3 linked regions of the Cricetulus griseus genome follow. The protein of the gene in region 3 purifies or fractionates together with the protein of the main gene of each other region. This does not show direct contact. Links are inferred from orthologs where the notes say so. Each region holds a gene or a part of one and is shown on either strand. Other genes may lie near its edges.

Region 1 (4,157 bases), on a different chromosome or scaffold from region 3:
TTGACCATTACCAAAACAAGATCAACCTCTATGGGCATCGGGGTGTGGATATGAAGCCTTCCTTACTCCTTGGTGCTCTTAGGCTGGGGATGAGGCCAAAGGCTCTAACCACATGGAGTCCCCACGTGTCGTATGGTCTACCGGATTCCTTCACTAGTTGAGCACCTATTTGCCAGGCATGGCCTCAGCTCTTTAAAAGGTAGGAAAGTGGGGGTGAACAGGAGAGACAGCTCATGACTGTGTGCTTCTAGAGTTTGAGAACATTAGTTCAGAGGCCAGACTTTAAACAATTCTTATTTATAACTTTTATATGTAGCTTAAACTCATTTGTTGTGTGTCTGTGTGTGAGTGCATACATGCCACTGTAAGTATGTGGCGGTCAGAGGACAGCCTTCAGGAGTCGGTTGTATCCTTCCATGTGTAAATTGTGGGACCAAACTCCAATTGTCAGAGTTAGTGACAGGCACTTTTACCCACATGGTGGAGGCAGGAATCACTTGGGCAAGTGGAGGCACAGTTGAAGATCCAGGTCCCATAGGTACAAACAGAAACGGCATTTAAAACCACGAGACTGGATGAGCTCATCCGGGCAAAGGGTGTCGATCGAAGAGAGAAGAGTCCAGTGAACTGTAAAGTGAAGCGACATCTCCCCTGCCACTCTCGAGAGGTGTCACGTGAATGCATCCAGAGGACAAAGTCTGGAGGCTACTGAGAACCCAGGAAGCTCTGGCTGTGGGCCCCTAGAGCGGGGCCCACTAGGGGCGGGGTCTCACTTTGGCTGTGGGCGTGGCCTTGGCTCGGGCCGCAGCTCTGGGACCGGCCAGCGGCCGGGGCGATGACGTCAGTGCATGACTGGGTTTTTATGAATGAAAGGAATCCTGTGCGTGAGTAATTCCGGGAAGCTCGCCTTACAACTGCGCGCGGCTCCGGCCCCCTGCGCCGCCCGCCTCATAACAAAACTCCGAGCGGCGCTACGCGGAGCCGGGTTCCTAGTGAACCGCGGTCCCAGTTGGAGAGGAGTGGGGCTTGAGAGCGGCCTGGGACCGCCACCGCGACAGCTGCGGGGACAGCTGCGACAAGCGCGCACGTAGAGTCGGGCCTGGCAGAGAGAGGTAAGGACGCGTCAGGGACCGGGACCGCGCCTGGGGTGAGCGCTCCGGGTTGTGCCTGGGCCGCGCTGTGGGCGCCCCCGTGCATCTGCCCGCCGAGGGGCCTCCGAGGGGCTGGCTGGGGGACGGTTCGCGGGCCCCGGAGGAAGCCGGGGCGGGGCGGGGGGCGGGAGGCGGGGCGGGGCGTGCACGTACGTGACTCGGTGAGAACAGTCCTGGAGCCCGGCCCAGCACCGTGTGTGCGCGGTTTGTTTACGTCCCCCGGCAGCGGGGCGTGCGCGTGTGTTCTCTGGGGAGCGCCCTGGGTCCCACGGGCTGAGCGCGCACGGGGTACCTCTGGGTGTGTGTGTTTGTCTTTGGCCGCGCGCGCTCCCTGGAGACTGACACTAACCCGGTGTACCTTGAAGTGTGTGCACCGGTGTCCACTGGAGCAAATGCGGAATAAGGACCCGAGTGAAGGAAGTGGCCCAGTCGATGGTTACACCAGGTCTGGAATTTTTTTTTTCTCTCCCTCCTCCCCACCCTCCGCTATCCTCTCACTTCCCACCAGCCGGTACTGCCCGGCCCCAGTTGTCTCCGGAGTTTCCCCTGGTTGGAGCCATGTGACATCAGTGTTTGTTCCTCGCCCAGTGCGGGTGCCTGCAGCTTTAGGTAGAGCAGAAGTGAGCGAGCCAGCCAGCCGTCTCCTGGCCATCTGGTGTACCTGGTAACGAAGTACGTGGAAGTCCCTCTTTAGCCCCAGGTTTTCTGGCTCTGTATGGACTGTTCATCTCTGGACTGTCCCATTCCTCCGGTCCCAGGAGAAATAGAGAAGGCCAGAAAGGCCTTGGCAAAGATTGGGGAAGGCAAGGCTCCCAGGCTACAGTGGCTAGCCTAATCTGGATGTCTGAGGCTGCACCTGCTGGGTCCTGAAGGATGGAGTGAGGCTAATAGCCACACTTCTGGTAGTTTCAGTTCTCAGATGGAACTCGTTAGACTGGACCCCAGGACACACCTAGAGTCCACCCTGAACCAGCAAGATCAGCCGGCAGTATAACCCCTGGTCCTCCTTCGGGAAGGGTTAATGTGGGAGGGGAGCACAGCAAGAAAACACCTGCTTAGGCCAGCAACCTGAAGGACTGCTGGTTCCCGGAACACCATGGTCATACTCAAACTTTCCCTACTTGAGCGTTCTGGAATCCAAGGAGGTGGCAACTAAGCTTGTTAGGGGGCGGAATCAATGATACTTCAACTTTGAGCCAGTGAGTTCTGCTATCACTGTGAGAACTGCAGTGTCCCACCCCCATCTGCGGCAGGGTGGCAGGAGAGCTTAGTCCCTGGCAGCTGCAATGCACAGCCTGTTTACCAGGGGAAACTGGGAAGGCAGAGCCAACCCCAAGGCCTGCAAATGGAGTTGTGTGTAGAGTGGGTGGTTGAGGGGGCTGCAGCCAGGACCCTAGGATTTAGGTGGGTCCATCCTCAAAACTGATCAAGAAACACTCTCCAGTGGGGCTGGGGGGTTAGTGGTGAGGGGAAGTGGCTAACTGGCTCACTGACAGAGGGAAACTTAGCATGGAGAGATTCTGTTTCTCCTTGATCCCCAGGGGTCCATTAGAACCCAGGACCCCTAGGTAATGCCCCCCTTTTTAATGAGTGTCTGGTGCCAGCAGAGGTCAGAAGAGGGTCTTGGGTCCCTCAGAATTGTAGTTACCGATGGTTTTGAGCTATCATGTGGGTGCTGGGAACTAAATTTGGGTCCTCTGCAGGGGCAACAAGTGCTCTTAATCACTGGGCCATCTGTCCAGCTTACCTATTTTTTAAGGGAGGATTTATTTTGGCTCATAGTGTGAAGGGATGGGTATGTACTCACTGCAATAGGAAGGCCTGGTGAGAGCTGCTCACCTATGGCTGTGGTAGTGTGGGCTGCTGGCTCCCCTCTCACTGCACTGGGAAGCTTTGCTGACACTTAGCCTTTGCACAATGGCTGGGCTAGATGCTTAGGGTTGTAGTAAACAGACAGATCCACGGACCACATTCTGGGAAGGGGCCATGAAGGGGAAGTTACTTTGGCCTAAGTAGTAATAGGGCTCCTACTTAGCCAGGGTGATCATGGAAGTCTTCCCTGTGGAGGTGGCTAGGGAGTAGAGTTTGATGGTGCTGTGATTCTGGAACCCAGAGGACAAGGGCTGTGATTCCTTTTTGGCCATTCAGGACTCAACACAGGGCCTGGCACACAGTAGGTGCTTCTTGGATATGTGGATAGTTGAAGAAATGGGCAATGGGTCCATATCCCTGAGCTCCAGGGAAACAGAAAGCAAGACTGTGAACTGTAGGAGTCTTGCAGGAATTTCCCCCAAAATGAGCAGGTGGTGCAGGTAGCTTCTTCTTTCACACACAGAGCTGTGTTCCTTTTGGCCAATAGTCATTAGGAAATCCAATCTGCTCATTTGTTACTTATTAGCAAAAAGAATGCTGGGAGAGTGAAGTGAACATGTTATCAGCTGGGGGCTCCTTTGTGGGCTGGGACAGCTGAGAGCATGGGCTCTGTGGTTTTGATATTTTTTTCTAAAGATTGATCTAAAGTTCATTTTTATTTACATAGGTGTTTGTGCCTTAGTGAATTGATGTGTGCCATATGTGTGCAGATGGCTGTGGAGGCCAGAGGGTGTCAGATCCCTGGAACTGTAGTTACAGGTGGATATGATCCACTTGACTTGGTATTAAGGCCAGAACCAGGGTCCTCTGCAAAAGCAGCAGGTGCTCTTAACCACAGAGCCATCTCTCCAGCCCTATTTTTGTTTTTGTCTTATGTAGCCTGAGCTGGCTTTGAACTTCTGGTCTTTCTATTTCTGCCTCTTGAGGGCTGCCATCATGATGTATATGACCACACCTAACTAGCACAAGGACTTGAAACATGCCAAACATGGTCAAGTTTGTAGGTTTGTGCCTCTAGTGACCCTTTGATGCTATTGGAGATGGAGGTTGGGGCAGAGGAGGGAGTAAGGCAGTGGTGAGGCCACTGTGGTCTTGGTCTGGCTGGAAGAGGAAGTGGCCCCTAGCTGTGCAGGT
Region 2 (4,293 bases), on a different chromosome or scaffold from region 3:
TCCTATGAAGCACACAGTCCTGCTTATCCTGGAAATTGCTTTGTAGACCAGACTGTCCTCGAACTCTCAGAAATTTGGCTGCCTCTGCCTCTTGAGCGCTGGGATTAAGGGCCTAGGCGTGCTACCACTGCCTGGCTTCTAAAAATTCTTAAGATCAAAAAAAGGTATAGCCAGATTCAAAATATATTGGTGGAATCAAATAAAAGAGGCACTATTTTCTTCACACACCTCTTCATTATCTTAATGACCATCTACGTGCAAGAAACTTGTAATTTAGAAAGCCAATCTGACATCACCTTCATCTGTTACCCAAACCCTGTTTGTTATTTCTGTATTTGCCTACACATCATGAAGAATTCACAAACCTTCTGCCTAAAGTCTCTGAGACTCAGATCAGTGCCCAGAAGATGCATCTGTACTTTTGATCTAGTTAGTCTTCTGTCAGCAGAGGAACCCCAGGGGAATTAAAGCAGCACATACCAGTGTTAGAAAAAGAAGTAAACGAAATCTTTATATTAACGTCCACGCTAGGTCTGATCTGGGAGTGGGTGCTACGATGGGACCCCTCGCCAGATCAGTTTACTGCTTTCTTTCCGCCAGCCAGGAACTGACCTTTCCACCCAGCAGTCATCCCTCTCAGACCGTGCATTTTTAGGACTCGGGGTGCGGGGAGGCCAAAAGAAGGAACTGGGGACAAGCCCTGGCTTGCTACCTTGAGGATCTCGCGGCCACCCACGGCTAGAGCCACATGCCGGCTCTGCAGGTCGCACTGGATGTCCTGCGCGCGTGTGCCCGGGGGCACCTGGACTTCAATGAACACCTCCTCCAGGGTCTGGTACCACTGGCCCCATGGCGTCCCGCACGGAACCACCCCACTACGTTCCTCAAACGGGGCGGACATTCTCCAGATGCCACGCACGGACCAGGCTCAGAGAGAGAGAGAGAGAGAGAGCACGGCACACGCGGGATGCGACTCAAGAGTTCGCCCTCGGCGCTTTGGGGTCACTGCACATGCGCAAAAGTCCAAGGTGGAGCGGCCGAGCGTGCAACTCTTTCCCTTTCAGGGCCCATTTAGGACACTCGCGAGACCTGGTGTGGAAGAACCGAAGTCAACATCTTAGGATGTTCCTAAGAACGGTGACGCCGGAACAAAGGAGAGAGGCGCTCGCGACCTTTAATCCTGTATGACGCCGAAATACGGACTCTCCTACGGGCCGCCTGCGAAATGCGCTTGCGCGAACTGAGTCCACTTGAGCAAATCCAGATGTCACTGGATAGAGCCGTAGCGGCGGCGAACAGGAACAGTCTCTCATTGGCTATCAGCTTAAACTTACAGGCCTCCCGATTGGACGGTGGTACAAATCTAGCGCGCATGCTCCTTGGCCCATTCAGGATTCGTCAGCTAGGTTTAGGCCTTCTGATTCGCTGAGGCGGGGACGGTGGGGTAAATTTGAATTCAGGCGAGCAAGCAGACAGTTGCTGAGGCGTTCGGTGGCCGTCGTCAATCCAGTGGTCACACACAATGTCTTTTCCTAAGGCGCCCCTGAAAAGATTCAATGACCCTTCGGGTGCGTACGGGTGCCGGAGCAGGGTGGGAAGGGGACCTCGCCCCTCCTATCTCAGTCGGCGGGACCCCAGGTTAGGGTTGGGATGGCATTTGTTTTTTTTTGTTGTTGTTGTTCAAAATACATGCAGTAAACACTTGGCGGGTGCTGTGTAGGGATGTGGCTCCGAGTAAAATCGAGCCTTCAAACGCGAAAGTCTACCAACAAGCTGTCAACGCCATGGTGAGGCTAATAGCTGGTTGAAGGGGTTTAGAAATGGCAGGCCTTTCGTACTTGAAGAAGAAAAAAATGTTACTTTCGTTAGAATTTCTCTTTCTTGTTTTGACATTGCATTCGGGTTAAGAAATAACAGCTGCTCCAGAATTCCATTCTCTATAAACAATCCTAAAGTAATATTTAGTGTTTTAGTGACTGAACACTGGAACTTGGTGTGCTGATGGCACCGTAAATGACAGTAGATGATGGTAGTGTCCAAAAAGTTAGGATAAAGGAATTTTTTATGTTTTCAGCATTAAGAAATAGATGTTTCCAGGCCTAGTGGCCTGAGCTGCATAGAAAGACCGTCTGGTACAGTGTTTTCTGTAGCTTGTCACACAGAGCTGAGTTTGAATCCTCATCCCACACCCCAAACAAGTTTGTTTTTCATACCTCTCAACACACCACAAGCTTAAATACTAGAGCAGTAGACCTGATGGATCTGCTCCCTGCAAGCAGTTTTGTCTAATGTGGAGATGAAGTAAATAAATCCTTATGAAAGCCTGGGAAGTTCTTTGGTACAAAAGATAGAAGATGCTATGAGGATTTTTCTAGTCTGATTTTGGGACTGTGCAAAAGCTAGAAACAATATCCCGACTGAGATCTGGAAGGTAAATGAGAATTGGCTGGGAAAAAAAAATTGGAATTGGCCTATGAATTCTAAATGGCTAACTAGAAAATACAGAAGTTGAAAAGCTTCAAGGCTTTATTTAATGTATTAAAAACCCCATACAGAAACACATTATTTCATTAGCTGATTTGATTGTTTTAAGTTAGAAGATGCCAACATGGGTAAGAAAAACATGAAAGAAAAATAATAATCAAACCAGCAATTGGAGCCACTTTGTGCTTAAAGATGAATTGTACCCTTAACAGCAGAGAAGGTTAACTTCATGGAAATCATCTGTTGTCTCTGACTTTTTTTTTTTTTCTTGGTTTTTTTTTTTGGTTTTTTTCAAGACAGGGATTCTCTGTGTAGCTTTGGAGCCTATCCTGGCACTCGCTCTGGAGACCAGGCTGGCCTTGAACTCAAAGAGATCCGCCTGCCTCTGCCTGCAGAATGCTGGGATTAAAGGCATGCGCCACCAACACCCAACTGTCTCTGACTTTTCTTATTTGTTTTTATTTTGTTGTTGTTGTTTGTTTTTGTTTTTGAGACAGGGTCTCTCTGTGTAACAGCTCTGACTGTCCTGGAACTCACTCTGTAGACAGGCTGTCCTGGAACTCAGAGATTCTCCTGCCTCTGCCTCCCAAGTGTTGGGATTAAAGGTGTACACCACCAATGCCTGGTCTCTGACTTTTCTAATAATGGTCTCATAGTCCTAATTTTTTAGAATTTTAACTAGAATGATATTTTATTTTAACTAGAATGATAACAGATTAGAGTTCTAAAAAAAAAAAATTGAGACACACAAGGAGTCAACTGTCTGCCTCATAAGAAAAGCTGATGGAATAATAGACATTTAATATGAAGGAGAAAAAGTCCAAGATAATGAGATAGTTATCTCTAAATACTTGAAGTTCATAATGGATAAAAGGGATTATTTGAAATTCTTGAGAGTTAGTGAAATACATATATATTAATTATAAGCAAGCACATTTCTAAGAGTACATATCTCCTGCTATGATAAGCCTGCTTGGAGCTGAACAGATTTTTATGTTAAGAGATTCAGACACATGTGGGACCAAAATAAAGTGGACATCAAAGAGATGAAATGGATACATTTAAAATTCTCTTCCGACATAGTCGTCCACTTTAGTGGCAGCTGTGTTGTAACTTGGCAGATTTTCATTGTTCAAGCATAAGAAAGCCCTGAACTCTGTTTCTATAAAGCCTACAGTTTATTGTATTTATAAAATGATAAAATTATGAAGTCCGAAATGGGAGAAAGTGTCTCTCACGAAGCTTGGCTTTACTGCACTGACAGGCTCTAATGGATACTACTGGTTTTCACTCCAAATACGGAAAATATGGCTATTCTTCTTTGCTCTCTTCTTCTAAGAGATACTTCTATGGAAAAGCTGGATTCATACTGCCTTGGATTTGGCAAGCAGCCGGGTCTATCACCTGGCCCATCCTTTCAAAGAGGACAAACTGCTAGATAAAGGAAGGTACACTGAAGCTAGGCATCATGCTACATGTGATCTAAGCACCCTGGAAGCTAAAGTAAGAGGCTCATGGATTCAGGATGAGCCTAGAGTATATTGTGACTTCTGGGTGAGCCTGAGTTCCACAGTAGAATGCTGAAGAAAGACTATGAAGCAAAAGCATCATAGTATATTGGAATATCGTGGGAAATACAAGTTTTCTGGAACAATTTATATTAATTCATGGACAATGACTGAAAACACACTCAGCCAGTTAGTATTTGTTTGGGGGGGGGGAGCAGAGTGGGAGGGGTTTATTTGGCTTCCAGGTTACAATCTATCCTTAAGGTAAACCAAGGCAGGAAAAGCACAAACGGAGGCATTC
Region 3 (3,642 bases):
TTCCCCTATTCACTGCAGGTCTCACACTCACAACGACCACCTGAACATCTGCACCCAGGTGAGCACATCAAGAAACTGTGACATATTATTCAGCCAGCTGTTTGAGAAACATCGCACTAAGTAAAATAAACCAAATTTCCTACATTATCTCGACTACTATAGGCGGTAATGTTAACAGGTAACCAAGGGCACCATTAGGATGTTGAAGCCACGGGCTGGGAGGAGGGGAGTGGGAAACAGGTGTTCAGTGACTTTTCATTACAAAAACAAGTTACAGAGATACGCTGTGTTAATACAAAAACCAGAGCTAACACAGCACTGTGCACTTAGGAACCCTTCCAAGGCCAGGCCGCCTGTCATCACAAACTTCAGAAGCAAGTAAAGCATGCATACAAAGGGAAAGAGTGTGATTAAAAATTACTAATAAAAGCAAAGTGAAAACTGCCACTATAAAGAGAACGCTGACCTTTGCTGCATAGTCCCTACTTTCTGTCACTAAATCAGAGTCTCACAGGGTACAGGGATGCAGTAGTAAATATAAACTTATATACACTGACTGCACAAGTCAAACTTGATACAACTGATAAGTCAGTAGCGCATATCCATCAAACTAATGCCTGAAAGGACTAAAGAAAAATCAAGTAATAAATAAAAGCAATAGATCTGGAAAAATTAGGTCTAAGAAAACATCCCTTTAATGCCACAAGCCTGCAGCTCCTCACAGCCAACCATGGCTCACGACCACACACTGTTCTCGGGTTTGACGATCTGGGGCTATGAACACTACAGGTTATATGATGCCATCGTCCAAAAGTTACCATTAACCACCAGTGACAGAACTGCTATCGTTTTTCCCTACTGGGGCATCTGATTACACAAGTCCGACAGCCCGTGTGGGGGTCACCTCCATGATCTATACACACACCGATGTGCAATACAAGCAAGCACACAGCAGTTCTTCGAACCCCATACATGCCCTATCACCACTCTGGTGTCGTGGCAGGCTCTCCTTCCTCTCTGCGCCAGGCACCAAGTGCACCTCTTAAGGAATGGCTGTGTCAACAGTGAGAGCACACTCACCTCACATTCCTGCTCCCGGGCCGAACAGGACTCGCTGTCCCCTTCTGTGTCGGTCTCAGAGTCATCTCCCAGGCTGATCACGCAAGCGTAGGGACAAGGCTCCTGCTGAGGCTCTGTCACGTAATCGTAGTTTCCGATTTCCAAGTTGCTGGAGCAGCCTTCGGAACCCAGAGTACTGATGAAAGGGCAGTTGACGGAGCTGAGAGTTGTGAAAGTCCGCTGGCCCGGCTCCGGGCTCTCGCTGATCCTGATACCCAACCAGGGGCACTCGGAGCGCCTTTGCGAGCAGCCCTGTTCTGAACCCTCTTTGGCCGCGGCAGGTGACAACTGCATTTGGCAAGCAGAGTCCGTGCTGCAAATGTCACTCCAGAAGCCTTTGGCCAGGTGCTCTGCCACCTCCCTCTCCACACTACTCCGATCGCCGGATGCAAGGCTGCTGCTGTCTTCTTTGGGGCCCGCGTCAGATTTCAGGTACAAATCGGGATTTTCACCAAACGGCTTCTCTTCCTGGGCATCCGCACCTGGCAAAGGCTTTTCTGTTTTCACTGTTTTACTCTGCACCCCAGTGAAGCCCATGTCACCAGACTGGTCGTATGTGTGTAAGAGAGGCAGGGAGTAGAGCCCGTGAGGGTCTGCAGAATTGTGCGGGAAGGGAGCCACTTCGCCACTCTGCGCCGTGGGGCCCCGAGAGGTGGGGTCTCTGCGCTTCGTCTCCTCGCTCTCCATGGCTGGCTTCGTTTCTTCACATTTTAAAATCACTTGCAAGTCTGCGCAACCTTGTGCTCCCCCGACACACTCCAGGTCAGATGTCTCATTGGGTTGGACAAAAGCAGCGTGGACATCTTTGAGGCCGGATTCTAGGGTGCGGATCTTGTCAGTTCCAAACGCTTTCTGGAATTTTCTGTATTTGGGGCATAGAGATGGCAGCGCCAGGGTGCCATCCTTTTCCGAGCATATGGACTGGCACGTCTGGCTGGCACTGTCTTGGAGAGAGGGTGACGCTTTCACATTGCGCTGACACCTCTGGGGGTCACACTGAGGAGTCTGAACACTTTTCTTTTCCAAGAACTCCTCTGCCTCATCGATTTCTAGATCTTTCTGGTCGGAGAGTGAAATTTTAAAGTCTGCTTTCTGACAGTGTGAGGAGAAGCATTTTTTTCTGGCACATTCTTGCTGCTCTGCAGTGGAGTCCAAAAACTTAAACTTGAGAAACTGAAAGCAGGATTCCTCGATATTGTGCACAATTAAAAACTCCACACACTTGCAAACTTCGTCAACATTGTCTTTACTTAAAATGAGTTTGGCAGTGTAGGCAAACTGAATTAAAGGTTCAAATCCTTTAACTGTCACCTGTTAATACGAGAGATAAAAATAAGCATGTCATTTAACAGCTGACTAACAGGTTTAACAGCTGTCTAGCAGTGACAACAGGAGAAGAGCCACAGGGGGTGCACGCTTATCTGTGAGCACTGAATGCTGAATGGGTGCTTTATTTGGTAGGAAAAGGGGAGTGGTATAGCAGAGTCCCACCCAATGCCACAGGACTAGTCCTCCACTTTAGGAATAGCACGTCAACACGGTTTCCTCAGGAAGACATTACCATGATCTCCCCATGTGAATAAGTATCTATGAAATAAAGCAGGAGGGGTCCACCCACAGCCCTGCTAGAAGAAAATGGCAATGGGTATGCAAGGTGTCTGAGGCTAGCACAGCTCCCAGAGGCCAAACAAAGTGAACAGTAATAAACTATACATTGGAGCTTTTAAAATGAAAAGTATTTATAAAAATATCCTAACCATCAAAAAAGCACAATAAATCAAAGTATTGGCTGGACAGAGGTCAGAGATCATGGGCACTGGCTGCTCTTGCAGAGAGGCCTGAACTTGGCTCTCGGCATCCACACGGGGAAGGCTCACAGCTGCCTGCAGTTCTAGCGCTGGGGATCCATGCCTCCACAGGCACCTGTGCTCATGACACACACACACACACACACACACACACACACACGTCACACACATCACACATGCAGTCACACACACATCCACAGTCACACACGTCACACACACTCACACACATCACACGTGTACTCACACACACACACACACACACACACACACGTCACACACATCACATATGCACTCGCATGCACAAATGCACACATATGTCACACACAAAAAAAACTTAAAAAAAAACCAAATCTTTAAAAATGATTATTTCTAATAATAAATTTTTAAGAGTCCAGACTACAAAAGCTCTAAGCCCCCACCTCTCCGCTGCTTCGGCAAACTGAGCAGACACCTGTATGTTTACACTGAGACTGTATATGCAAGGCAGGGGTGGGGGGTGGGAAAGCCTGCAAATTCGAACAGAAAGTTCACCTGGGTTAAAAATACAAATTACACTTAAAACTTTGAGTTACTACCAGATTGACCAAAATACTAAGACTCTCCTAAAACATGCTAACCTTACAGCGTTTAGCATGAAACCACTAAAATAAGCACTACTAAATTCTTCAAGAACAATGAAACTGGGTCACTTCCAATGCTGGTAGGGCTGTCAGAT

Evidence for each region. Proteins that work in one complex are often made in the same cells at the same time.
Region 1: the proteins of Bach1 (region 3) and Maff purify together in Homo sapiens (affinity purification with mass spectrometry; 3 studies listed by BioGRID and IntAct, counting the BioPlex papers as one, with this or other methods). This does not show direct contact. The link is inferred for Cricetulus griseus from reciprocal best matches to the Homo sapiens genes BACH1 and MAFF.
Region 2: the proteins of Bach1 (region 3) and Hmmr purify together in Homo sapiens (affinity purification with mass spectrometry; 6 studies listed by BioGRID and IntAct, counting the BioPlex papers as one, with this or other methods). This does not show direct contact. The link is inferred for Cricetulus griseus from reciprocal best matches to the Homo sapiens genes BACH1 and HMMR.

Annotation. Positions count from the first base shown.
Region 1 is NC_048595.1:376,527,078-376,531,234, forward strand, and holds the start of Maff (transcription factor MafF), read left to right. Parts: upstream 1-1,308; 5' UTR 1,309-1,543; coding exon 1,544-1,596; intron 1,597-4,157. UniProt on the Homo sapiens protein: Since they lack a putative transactivation domain, the small Mafs behave as transcriptional repressors when they dimerize among themselves.
Region 2 is NC_048600.1:55,600,259-55,604,551, reverse strand, and holds the start of Hmmr (hyaluronan mediated motility receptor), read left to right. Parts: upstream 1-1,444; 5' UTR 1,445-1,522; coding exon of another isoform or gene 1,523-1,556; coding exon 1,557-1,638; intron 1,639-4,293. Other genes in the region: Nudcd2 (nudC domain-containing protein 2), read right to left, coding at 713-901. UniProt on the Homo sapiens protein: Receptor for hyaluronic acid (HA). Involved in cell motility. When hyaluronan binds to HMMR, the phosphorylation of a number of proteins, including PTK2/FAK1 occurs.
Region 3 is NC_048597.1:9,660,022-9,663,663, forward strand, and holds part of Bach1 (transcription regulator protein BACH1), read right to left. Parts: intron 2,431-3,642; coding exon 1,081-2,430; intron 1-1,080. UniProt on the Homo sapiens protein: Transcriptional regulator that acts as a repressor or activator, depending on the context. Binds to NF-E2 DNA binding sites. Plays important roles in coordinating transcription activation and repression by MAFK.